Linked DNA regions of Drosophila melanogaster. The protein of the gene in region 3 interacts with the protein of the main gene of each other region in a pairwise test. Each region holds a gene or a part of one and is shown on either strand. Other genes may lie near its edges. The genes, in order: Fer1HCH, B9d1 and Hn.

Evidence for each region.
Region 1: the proteins of Hn (region 3) and Fer1HCH interact in a two-hybrid assay, tested with the Drosophila melanogaster proteins (one large-scale study listed by BioGRID).
Region 2: the proteins of Hn (region 3) and B9d1 interact in a two-hybrid assay, tested with the Drosophila melanogaster proteins (one large-scale study listed by BioGRID).

Annotation. Positions count from the first base shown.
Region 1 is NT_033777.3:30,385,903-30,389,656, forward strand, and holds the start of Fer1HCH (ferritin 1 heavy chain homologue), read right to left. Parts: upstream 1,718-3,754; 5' UTR 1,629-1,717; coding exon 1,562-1,628; intron 1,508-1,561; exon of another isoform or gene 1,210-1,507; coding exon 1,201-1,209; exon of another isoform or gene 982-1,200; intron 927-981; coding exon 816-926; intron 695-815; coding exon 417-694; coding exon of another isoform or gene 396-416; exon of another isoform or gene 355-395; coding exon 82-354; 3' UTR 1-81. Other genes in the region: Fer2LCH (ferritin 2 light chain homologue), read left to right, coding at 3,309-3,426, 3,514-3,540. UniProt on the Drosophila melanogaster protein: Stores iron in a soluble, non-toxic, readily available form. Important for iron homeostasis. Iron is taken up in the ferrous form and deposited as ferric hydroxides after oxidation.
Region 2 is NT_033777.3:15,479,893-15,483,545, forward strand, and holds B9d1 (B9d1), read left to right. Parts: upstream 1-2,013; 5' UTR 2,014-2,114; coding exon 2,115-2,502; intron 2,503-2,620; coding exon 2,621-2,958; 3' UTR 2,959-3,012; downstream 3,013-3,653. UniProt on the Drosophila melanogaster protein: Probable component of the tectonic-like complex (also named MKS complex), a complex localized at the transition zone of primary cilia. Required for ciliary structure and function.
Region 3 is NT_037436.4:7,758,360-7,762,113, reverse strand, and holds the start of Hn (henna), read right to left. Parts: upstream 1,662-3,754; 5' UTR 1,488-1,661; coding exon 1,458-1,487; intron 1,131-1,457; exon of another isoform or gene 837-1,130; intron 748-836; exon of another isoform or gene 567-747; coding exon of another isoform or gene 552-566; coding exon 1-551. Other genes in the region: CG32373 (uncharacterized protein), read right to left, coding at 3,064-3,105, 3,171-3,394, 3,493-3,754.

The DNA.
Region 1 (3,754 bases), on a different chromosome or scaffold from region 3:
GGCTGACAGATAACAGATAACTCGACTGGCTGATAATTTTGATGCGTGACTGGGCGCTGCGCCTTCTCTATCTCCACCTCCTTACAGGGTCTTGTCGAACAGGAACTCGCCCAGTTCGCCGTTGGTGTCCATCATCTTCTTGAGAGTGGTCAGCTTGCCGGCGAGCTCGCGCTGTCCGTGGAGCTGCTCCTCCAGATAGACACCGGTCAGGTAGTCCACCAGGTGGTAGTGGTTGTAGGGCTTGTTCTCGCAGGTCTGGATCAGCTTGCGGATGGACTTGGTCACCTTGATCTCCAGGTCGAGGGCGTCGGACAGGGCGGCGGCACCATCGGTCCACTCCTGCTTGGCCACAGTCTGTGGGGGATTCGCCAGGATTAGCTGGGCTTTTGGGTTTTCTAGGCGAGTCGTCGACTTACCGGCACATTGATCAGATCGCTGACTCCCTCGGTCAGTTGACCGCGCATGGACAGGTACTCCACCAGCTTGGATCCGTGCTCACGTTCCTCCTTGGCGGCCTTGAAGAAGTGCTCGGCGAATCCAGGGCGGTTGACGGTGTCGCGGGAGAAGTAGGCGCCCATGGCCAAGTACTGGTAGGAGGCGTTGATCTCCTCCTGGATCTGATTGCGCATGCCCTTTATGCAGGCATCCTTCATGTCCACCCAGTCCTTGGTAATCTCAGGAACAGCCAGGGAGCCTGCAATGGGATAAGGTTGGGTTAAGTCGGGGGACCACGATAACAATATATGGCTAGTATTCAGCTTTAAAAAATTTATTTTTGTAATCAGAACTTAGGTAAATTTTAATATTTTAAAAACCTTTGCACTCTTGGTCTTGACCTTCATGGCTTAGGTTTTGTTTTTCTTTTAGTTGATGCTCTTCTCGCTCCCTTTGAAGCTCTCTCACGAAACTCTTGCTTTCTTGCTTGGCTGAGGGGTAGGGCGTTGTTGGTTATTGCATTTAAGAGGGCGTAATTGCATAAACCTTTGAAATTGCGCTTGAAATGCCGCTATTCTAGGGCACAAAAACCGTGTGCAAAACTGTAATGGCCTACTCTCCCACTCTCTCTCTCTGTTTTTGTAACTGCATTGGTAACGTGCGCAGCTCTCGCCGCCATAGTAACGGCATTTGTTTTCGTGTAGTGCCGTGTGCAAAAAGCATGGTTCACCATGCTAGCTCACTCGGCCCGTAAAAGCCGTGTGCAAAGAGCGCCTTGAAATGTAACAACAAAAAGTCAAGCTTATTTATACCGCAATATTCATGGAAATGAAAGCGAAATTCGCATTATTTAATTATGAAAATTTATGTATAAAAACTGGTTATCATTTCCCCAAAGCGCAACGGAAGTATCAATAACTTTTAAATCAACTGGTTTGGTAACTTCACTTCATTGACGAAAGAGAGTGAAAGAGCGTCAAAGAGAAACGGCGCATGCTCTTTTCAACGCATTACAAATGTTTTGCTTCTCTTTGCGTATTGCGTCGAAATTTATTGTTTTTTTTCCGATGACCTGCCTTTGTTTTGTTTGAAATTCTGATGAATAAAACGTAACATTAGTACTTACACTTGAAATCTCCATAGGCCTGGGCCACCACGGCCAACAGGAGCAGGCTAGCAATTAGTTTCACCATCTTTGATCGTCGAACGTAGTCTTTACACAAAATCACAGAACAAAAATTTGTTTTTCACTTTAGTTTGATTTGCTTGAAATGCACAAATGAGAATGAGGCGACTCGAGTTGAGCTACAATGTTAAATAGGCGTTGAAATTGAAAATCTAGCTGCCTTTACACACACTGGCGCAGAAGGCGTCGCCTGCTTCAATTTGATGGGCTTGATTGGGATTATTTTCGACTTCTCGAATGCTTTCCAGTACCTTCTGCTGACAGCTTTAATCTGATTTTTCAGTGGAGCTAAGGCCTTTCTACGTTGTGTTTTAGCGAACTCGAAAGCGAACTGTCGCTCCGAACGGCGCACAAAACACTTTTAAGCGCGCGCGCTCTCGGTTTTTCTTCGTGTGTGTGTGAGTGATGGGAGAGTGTGCACTGTTATCTTTTCAACATGTCGCCCGTTCTTTGTTAACCGTTTAAATGGCTGATAATTGAATATTCCCGATAATTGCCGCACTCAATGTGATACACACGTCCTCAATATGGGTATACTTTGTATAAAGTCGGGTTTCCTAGTCAGATAATCCCCACTTACTAAGAAGTAAATTTATCAAATGCAATATGGCCGCTCTTTTGAGATGCGCATCAGCTGTTCTTTGTTTTTGTTTTGGCCGTGGGAGAGCACCACGTCATGTGTTGCCAGGCGGTTTAATTATTGCTGACAATTTAATTCACATTTTGTCAAGTTGATTTGCACGTTCGAAGGGGGGATCAGTCACCCACTTTGATAACTGCTAATATGGCGACGGCTCTTTTTTACGTGTCGCTTGCAGAGCTCCAAGAATGACACTTGATAAGAAGGATACATGGTGGGAAAACTTACAAATTACATAATTTGTTTGTTGATTGGGGAAACCCTACATTATCTCCGAACCCAGCAATAATATGTATTGTAAATAGCAACAGTCTCAAGCTCGATGCTGCTGTGAATTACCAATATATCAAAACTTAAAACATTATCTTAGGAGGTAGATGGTTTATCTGCAGTTTATTTTCAATTCTCATCGTTAGCTGATAAAACTCTCAGGAAACCACTTGAAATCCAAAGTGCAGCGTCCATATTTTGCACACGCTGACAACCCTGTCGTGAGTCACCTTCCAGCAGGCGCAGCAACAACAGCACTGGCAGCGGCCATATTTGAATGACACCGAAATCCCGCACTGAGCGCAAAACAACACATGCCCATGCACGCTCTCCAAAACCACACACACACAGCCATATCGATCGCATAGAAAGAGACGTACGCGACGCTATAAACAGCAGTTGATTTTCAGAGTTTCACCAAGAAGCACATAAAGCGATTGAATTATTAATAAAAGCACAGGCACTGGAAGTGAGTTTTAATATTACTAACTAACTACTTTGTGAGTGTTTAGTTACGAAAACTAGAAAATAATATTCTGGAAACTGTGTTTTTAAACCGACCACCATATAAATTTAAAAACCAAAACATTCCATTGGTGGTGGTTTTGTTGTTAAAAAAGAGCACAGAAAATTCAAGAAAACGCTACGACGCAAAACGAAAAAACTCGCCCAAAATGAAAACAAAAGTGTCTGTTTTCCAATTGTCAATTGTTGTGAAACTAATTTCCTTTGTTTTCGCCTCTCGAATTTGATTTTAATTTACAGTAAACCGTCGACATGAAATTTTTCGTTGCACTCGCTCTCTTTGCGTGCCTCGGCTCTCTTGCCTTGGCCAAGGATGATGAATATTGCCAGAACACTGTAATCACCGCATGCTCTACGTCAGCCTTTTCGGGTGAGTAAAGAGAGCGCCTCTAAGAGAGAGTGGCTAATCTGTGTTGTTGCTTTTTGTATCTTTGTAAAACATAATAATAAAAACAAGCGCTCACGGGCTTTTTCACAGGCAAGAGTAAGTGAAATATAGATTGGATGTATTTCTGCACTATCTCAGATTTCGTGAAAATGAACACTTTCCAATTCTTACTGCATTACGGCCCTTACATTATTATTTTAAAGATACAAATACAAATTCAAAATTCTATTGCCTTGTTTAGTATGGCACTACCTAGTTAGGAACCATTAAGACTATGTCATTACTATTGGATGTGCTTCTGCTCTCCTAT
Region 2 (3,653 bases), on a different chromosome or scaffold from region 3:
CATTTCGCAAATCGGTTCAACACACGACGCTCGACTTTCAGTAATGCAACTCCTCGAGTGGCTAATGCACTTGCAAAAGACTTCAATTGAAAATTTTCATTTACACCAGGCTGGCCGGTCATTCAATGGATATGAATCGGTTTTATATAAGACTCCAAAATGAATATTTCTTCTGAATAATGCCTCCGTTCATTGATTCCAAAAACGTAATTGAATTCACAATGGCTGTGTGTCTGTGTGTGTCAGTTTGCCTGCAGGCGGCATATTCTTCAGTATTAGAAGTGGAAAAATTGTCGAAATCAAAATCGCACAGCATAATGCTACGAGTATAATGCCATATAGCTAAACTCGAGCCCAAATTATGTCGATTCTGCGCTGCATCAGCACTATCTCCGATTGCAGCAGCGAATTGAGCGGCTTTTAGCTTTGGATTTGGCATATGGCCTGATGTCCAATTTCTGATGGCTTTACTTTTGCTTTTGCCTTTGCTTTTGGGCTGACTGACTAAGCCTAAGCTTTTGTTTTGGCAATCAAAAGGAGCTTATTTCATGGAACTGCACATGCCACACACATTACACTGCTCGAAATGCCAGATTAAGCGGGAAAACTATATACATAGTTGGAATGTAATGAAACATCATCGCCAACTTTGGGTACACAGTGCTTATTAATGGGTAATTTCCGATAAGTAATGCATTTAATCTTAATTTATTTTTATAAACAATACTTGTTTTTTTTTTTTTTAACTACTGAAAATACTTTAATAATTTGTCAGTTAGTTTTTGAATAAAATACAGTTGCAAATAATATTTACCACAGCCATCGTTTTATTAATGAATAGGTAATGAACAGGTAAGTGGAATTTTCTTCCAGTGTAAGCACTTGATCCGACTCTGATTGCAACACCAATCGGCTGTCCCAGCTGTGCCACCACTCAGCTCCACAGCTGCACTGACGACGATCCAATCCGATGGGTGCGAAGATCATCTGCGTGGCTCGTGGAAGATGCCAGGTGAGCCGGGAGTTCGCCTTGAACCATTGACATTACTTGAGGCGCATTTTATTTACGCCCAGCATGATTAACTGATTAACTGACTGACTGACTAATTGACTAACTAACTGACTAACTGACTGACTGCCTGGCTGTTGGCCAGTTGGCTACTTGGCTACTTGTCCACTGGCCATTGCATAATGCATCATGCTAATAGGGAGCGGCACCGGGGGATCGAAGATCGAAGGCGCGACTTCCTGTAGACTTCGGTAGCGCCGGCAATTGTTACAATGATTTACGACCATGCCACGTTGGCAGCTATAAATTGCTAAATGGCCATTACAGCATTAATTACACGACCGACCAAGAGTTGTGAGTCGAATCGAAATTGAAATTGACCTTTTGCCCCGCCCAGACTGCCGGTCTGCAGAATGAGTTATTATCTTGTAATTGTCACTTACCAGCGGTGTGCAGATATGTTTCTTCGATCTCGATCTGGATCGGAGTATGCAAATTGGAAGCCAGAACCACTCGATGTCCATGTAACCAGCGATGTCGGTTGGAATTAAATTACATTGCTGTCGACATGACAAAGTGTGCGAATACTTAACTAACGAAACAAAGGAAATCCACCAACTGGTTACAATACATAACGAAAGGAATCATTAATGTGATTTATGAACATGTTGCCTCATTGAATCAGAGAAAAATAGAAATTATCATCGCAGTTTTATCTAAACTATTATTAAATGCAGACAGGCCATAAACCATCCGTTTGTTGAGTGTCTCTGGGGAATTCCTATTACTCAACCTTAAGAATCATCAAAATATAGAGGAAATTGTTTACAATCATTTCGTTTCCGATCTTGCAAGTCATAAACATCAAATTAATACAATAATGCATTTAACAAAAATCGTATGAAATAAATCGAACAATTTTTGCTATATAATCCCAATATATCGATTGTTATAGAAAATATCCCTTTTTTTTCGGTCCAAGCTGTCATATTTTTTGACCACTTTCAACACTTAGTTTGTGGCCAAGTCAGTTTTGGCAGGTGGAAAATAGTTGGCACTCGACTTGGCTGGAAACACACCCCGTTGTGAGTCGGCAACCACCACCATGAGCGCCAGCGAAGGCATCAGTCTCCCGGGCAACGAGGAAACCACTCCGCCGCATGAAAAACATAAACAAAAGGCCAAGAAGGCCAAAAAGAAGTCCCGGAGTGCCAAAGAAAGTGTTCCCAATGCAATGGACGCGAAAGCCACTGCCAGCTACTTTAGTTTGAGCATCGTGGGCCAAATAGTCTCGGCCACCTTTCCCCTGGGTCCCGACAAGGAGTTCGTCTTCCTGCGCTACGAAATGGTCGCTGGTCCCGACTGGCAGCTGTCCTCCGGACCCCAGCACGGACTCACCCAGCTGGCCACCAATAGAAGGGGCCATTTCAACGAACCGATTGTCTTCAATATGCCCATCGAGGTGACCTACAAGAGCACCAGTCCATATGGCTGTGAGTAATAGTACAGAATCGATTAGTTTACTATATTCTTTCTCAGCTCAGCTATTAACAATTTTTCGAATCAGATTGAAGTTACACCAACAAGATCTCCAATTCTTTTGGTTTCCAGGGCCACAGATCCTGGTGACCGTGTTCGGACGCAGTGGCCTGGGCAGGGAGACACTACTCGGTTACGCTCACATCCACCTGCCCGTTTTCGGCAGTCGTCGTCCAGCGGATCAGACGGAGCAGCTGCAGGCGCCCATCCTGATGCCCAAGTGCCCCAACATGATGGCGGACATCACCAGTTGGCTGCTGCGCCGCGAGCCGGAGCTGAAGGACCCCAAAGTGCTGCTGGACAACCTGAAGTGCAAGGGACTCTCTATGGAGTCGTACGGCAGCCTACAGTTTCAGCTGTCCTCCGTGATGAGGGGCGCCCGCAAGCTGGGCTACCATTGGCACTCCTGAGAGAGAGAGTCGAGTCCAGAGTGTGTTAGTAAAACGTGAACTTGAGGAAGCAGGAAAGCGTTTGTCTTAATCTAATTGCCGGGTGGGTGGTACCTCAAACTTGACCTTGTCCGTTGTGGCGGCTAAGACGATTTCAAAATGACGCGACTGCTGCTAATCCAACGCAGCAAACGAGCGGCAATCGAAAGCCCAATTCGAACGGTTAGCTTTGGATTGGCCAAGTGCCGGCTAATTGGATTAGGGCAATTAGTCTAAGACGCGTTGTACACAAGTGGCCATATAAAGACCAGACGACCATGGTCCGCCCCAGGCATTGCCGCCGAGTTCGCGTCCCGAGAGTCAGCCGTCCTGCTATGGACAGCGAGTAGTCGCCGCAGCAGAGTAGCCAGCCATCCAAGTTTAGACGAAGCCACCACCGAAGCGCCACCAGTACCAGCCATTCGAAATGGCCAGCCTGCATCCCCCGAGCTTCGCCTATATGCGCGATGGGCGCAATCTCAGCCTGGCGGAGAGTGTGCCCGCCGAGATTATGCACATGGTGGATCCGTACTGGTACCAGTGGCCTCCATTGGAGCCCATGTGGTTCGGCATCATTGGCTTTGTGATTGCCATTCTGGGCACCATGTCGCTGGCGGGCAACTTCATTGTGATGTACATCTTTACCTCGTCGAAGGGACTGCGCACGCCGTCCAACA
Region 3 (3,754 bases):
GTAAGATTCCTGAAGATAATGCCCCAGGTCTCGATCTCCTCCTTGGTGTAATCCACATGGGGCAAGGGCTCGCCATGCTTGTAGTTGTAGGCAATGTCGGCGAAGTACTTGCGACGCTTGCGGTATTCCGGATCGGTAAAACCAGGATGATCGGCATCCAGCTCCGATCCGTAGCTCAGAATCTGATTGGCGAAACGATCCAGATCGCGTATACGCCGCGGGAACCAGGGCACAGCCGTGGCATTATCCTTGTAGTCACGCGAAATGATGTTAAAGTAGCTACACTGCTCCTTCACATCCTCGATGGCTTTTCCCAAGGCTCCCGATTTTCCATCGGCCTCCACGAAAAACTCATAACCGGGAACACGCAGCGAGGAACGCGACTCAATATGCACCAGGTTTATGTCATGCTTCTTGAAGATGGCCAAAATGTTGGCCAAAGCTCCGCTGGACAACGACGAATCCTTGGGCGAAAACAGAAGACAGGTGTTCCTGGCCTCCTTAATATCTACACCCTCGACTATGTAAGCCGAATCCTCTACGCGCGTTGGCTGTAATAAATTCATTGGTAATTTAAAAAATATTTACGGTTTATATTTTTGCTGTTTGGGAAAACAGCCATTGCATCATTGGAAATTTGACAGATTGACTCCGAGTGACCTGGGCTAAACGAGCAGTCAAGCCAAACTATTTAATATAGATAATATTTCTCTGCTCTTATGACTATGCAATGTCTATCAGCAAATCTCCTATTACAGAGGCTACCAGGGCCCAAATCGCATAATCATTTAACCGAAGCCTTATATGAGCCAACGAACTGTAATTGTAGTACTTGCCTCAGATCTGCATCATTGAGATTGTTTGTGTTTTGGCTTGAACCCCCATATTGAAGGTTTAGGTCCGACCGCAATGGCAATCAGCGCATATTGCCAAGGACTCGGCCTAGAACTTGGTGTGCTGTATCTGTGGGAAGGTCTCCCAAGTAGTATACTTTGCAAGATCTTGAGCCATAACAAGGTCCTCTAACAGGGCTGAATTATTTGTTCTTAATGTATTTATATGACATCTTATTAAGCTGTACTGTTTCTACTTCCAATATATGCGCCTGACGTCTTAATTCAGGTTTTACTCTACAAAACACATTAATAAACTACTTGTTTAGGAGCGAAAATAAAATAAACCACTAGGAGTCCCAGACACCACTCTGTTTTCCTTTGTCTAGAACTATTGCGAACTAACCCAATTCCATGACAGGTTTTATACATTATAGATCCGCATTCTCATTTCAATCAAAATAATAAAATTATATTTTATTTGAATTTTTTTTCCTCAAAGGTTGGACAAGTTCATGCTGAGAACGCAGAATAATAAACTTGTTATTGTTTTTAATTTATTAGCTATTTTACGGATCACTTTCTATACCGGGTGCACAGAGGACTCTCGCCGAAGCAACAAACCTTATCAAAGGAGACCTGCCGCTGGTACATTTTCACAAGATTCTCGGGTTTCTCCACTGATAAGTACAATAAAACCGATGGCGAACGATCCGTTCAGCAAACGAATTAAAACTGATTTAATTTCTCTATGAATCGCGCGCTTAAATAGACTTTTCGATAGGCCCCATAGCTGAGCCCAAACGAAAATCAATCCGAACTGAAACCAGTAAAAAATACAAATAATATCGCGGGCAATCGGGCGAGTAAATGATCTTGGAACGGCATCCACATGCGATCCAATCGCGGCTATGGCTCTGCGGCTGCGGGGTTATCAGTGCCCAGTGTCTCGATGGGCCTAAAATCCCATTTCAGTATTCAGCTTCATTACAGAAGCCGTCGTCTAGCCGATCAAATCTAAATGTTGAGGCTTAAATACAGTCTAGCATCCATAATTCAAAATACGAAAAAAAGGAACGCCTGATTCGAAAAACCAGTTTTGAATGTTATAGATCTGTGTTCCTGGAACTTAGGCACAGTTTTCTATAGATAAAATATAATATCGTAAACAATGTTTTCTTACTTTTGAAGAACCCAAAGCACTTCCTTTTCGCATGTTCCACTGTATTTTGGAAATATTATCAGCTAAGACTCGCCCCTCTGCTGGGGTCCAAATTAACAAAACATTATTTCAGCTAGTTTTAGATTTGCTTTGTTTTGCAAAAAATCATACTGAATAATCTGGGCTGTGTTTTTCTAATGACAGGTTCTAACCAAACGAGTTCAACGGCATTTCAGGGCAATTATTTCAGTAGTGAATAGCTCCAAGTGGGCCTGGCACGCGCTACTCTTGGTTTTTTTTTTATACTTGCGGTCCACATCAGATTGACTGGAATCAATTAGTCCAATCGTTACACTCACCCGAACTTTTTGTCGGATTTTGTCTTTTAAATGGTAATACGCTTTCCTTAAGTCTAGGTGACTTACATTGTGGTACCCACTTGTAATTGTTAATCTATGAGTAGGTTTATTATTGTTTCAAGTTCAGAGTTCACTCGGTATAAGCACGTCAACAGATAACCCCGAAATTTAAGCTGATGTAATATTACAAGAGCTTACAAAAGCTAAAGCAATAAACCATATCTATACCATGTCTTTACTTCCGACATAAAATGTTTCAATATTCTTATTTCTATTTTTAGATATGTTTTTTGTCAATCCTAAAAAGCATTGATTTAGGCCCAAAAGTAGGCAAAGAAATCAGGTCATTTTTGAAGACAATGAGGGTATTAAGGCTAATATTTTATGTAGACCGAATTGATAATCCACTTTCAATACACTCCAAAATCAAGACGAAATGGGAGTGATCTATGATGACGATGCTTAAACATCCGAAAAACAAGCAAGCCCTATCTGTACCGTTTGCTTACAAGATTTGTCTTCAGCGGAGAATATTAAACATCTGTTCTACATGTCAAAAGTTTTACATCTTCATTGATTTTTACACACCAAGACTGATAGTCAATACAAAATCAATGCACGCTTCAGTGCAGGAGTGTAGGTTAAATTTATTTTTATTTTTTTTGTCGTTTTATATGTTAAAATAAATTAACGGCTTTGTGGAATCCGGTTAAGGCGGAGCGATCTTCACGCAGCCCTCGTCCTGTTTCACCTAAAAAATTAAATGCGTAAAGGTAAAATGTAAATATGTGTTATAGTTAGGTTACTCAGTCTTACTGATTGCTGAAACACATATTGTGGCACATTGTCCTGCCATCTTCTTTGGATCCAGCCCCATGGTGCCGCACAAATGAGCTGTGTGTCCATTCTGGGCAAATAGCCTCGATCACATAACAGTTCACAAATCGCGAGTGATTTGGATGGTTCATTATTGCAGCTTGCAGGATAGAAACGTCCATTGCGAGGGGGTGTCAAAACTGGACAACTCAATGCGAGGGATTCTAGAAATAGGATGCAATAGCAAATACATAATGTGTCTTATAAAATCCTATAGCACTAACTTAAATTGTTTGTACATTGTACATTGATGTGTACTTACCCACGCACTTGGCTTCTGGACTAGACCAAAGTCCGGTGTGTCCACAAACCGCAAATTGTGAGCCCTGCATGATATAACCCGCGTTGCAGGTAATATTGCAACGAGTGTAGTTGAAGCCATTTTGGAGATACTTATCGCAAGAAGCCTTTCCGTTGGCTGGTCCCTTAAACAAAGGGCATATATCCTTTCTTGGTGCTTCCTGACTGACAGGCGCGTCTTTCGATGGCGGTAATTTGGAGCCATCCAAAATACAACTATTTTG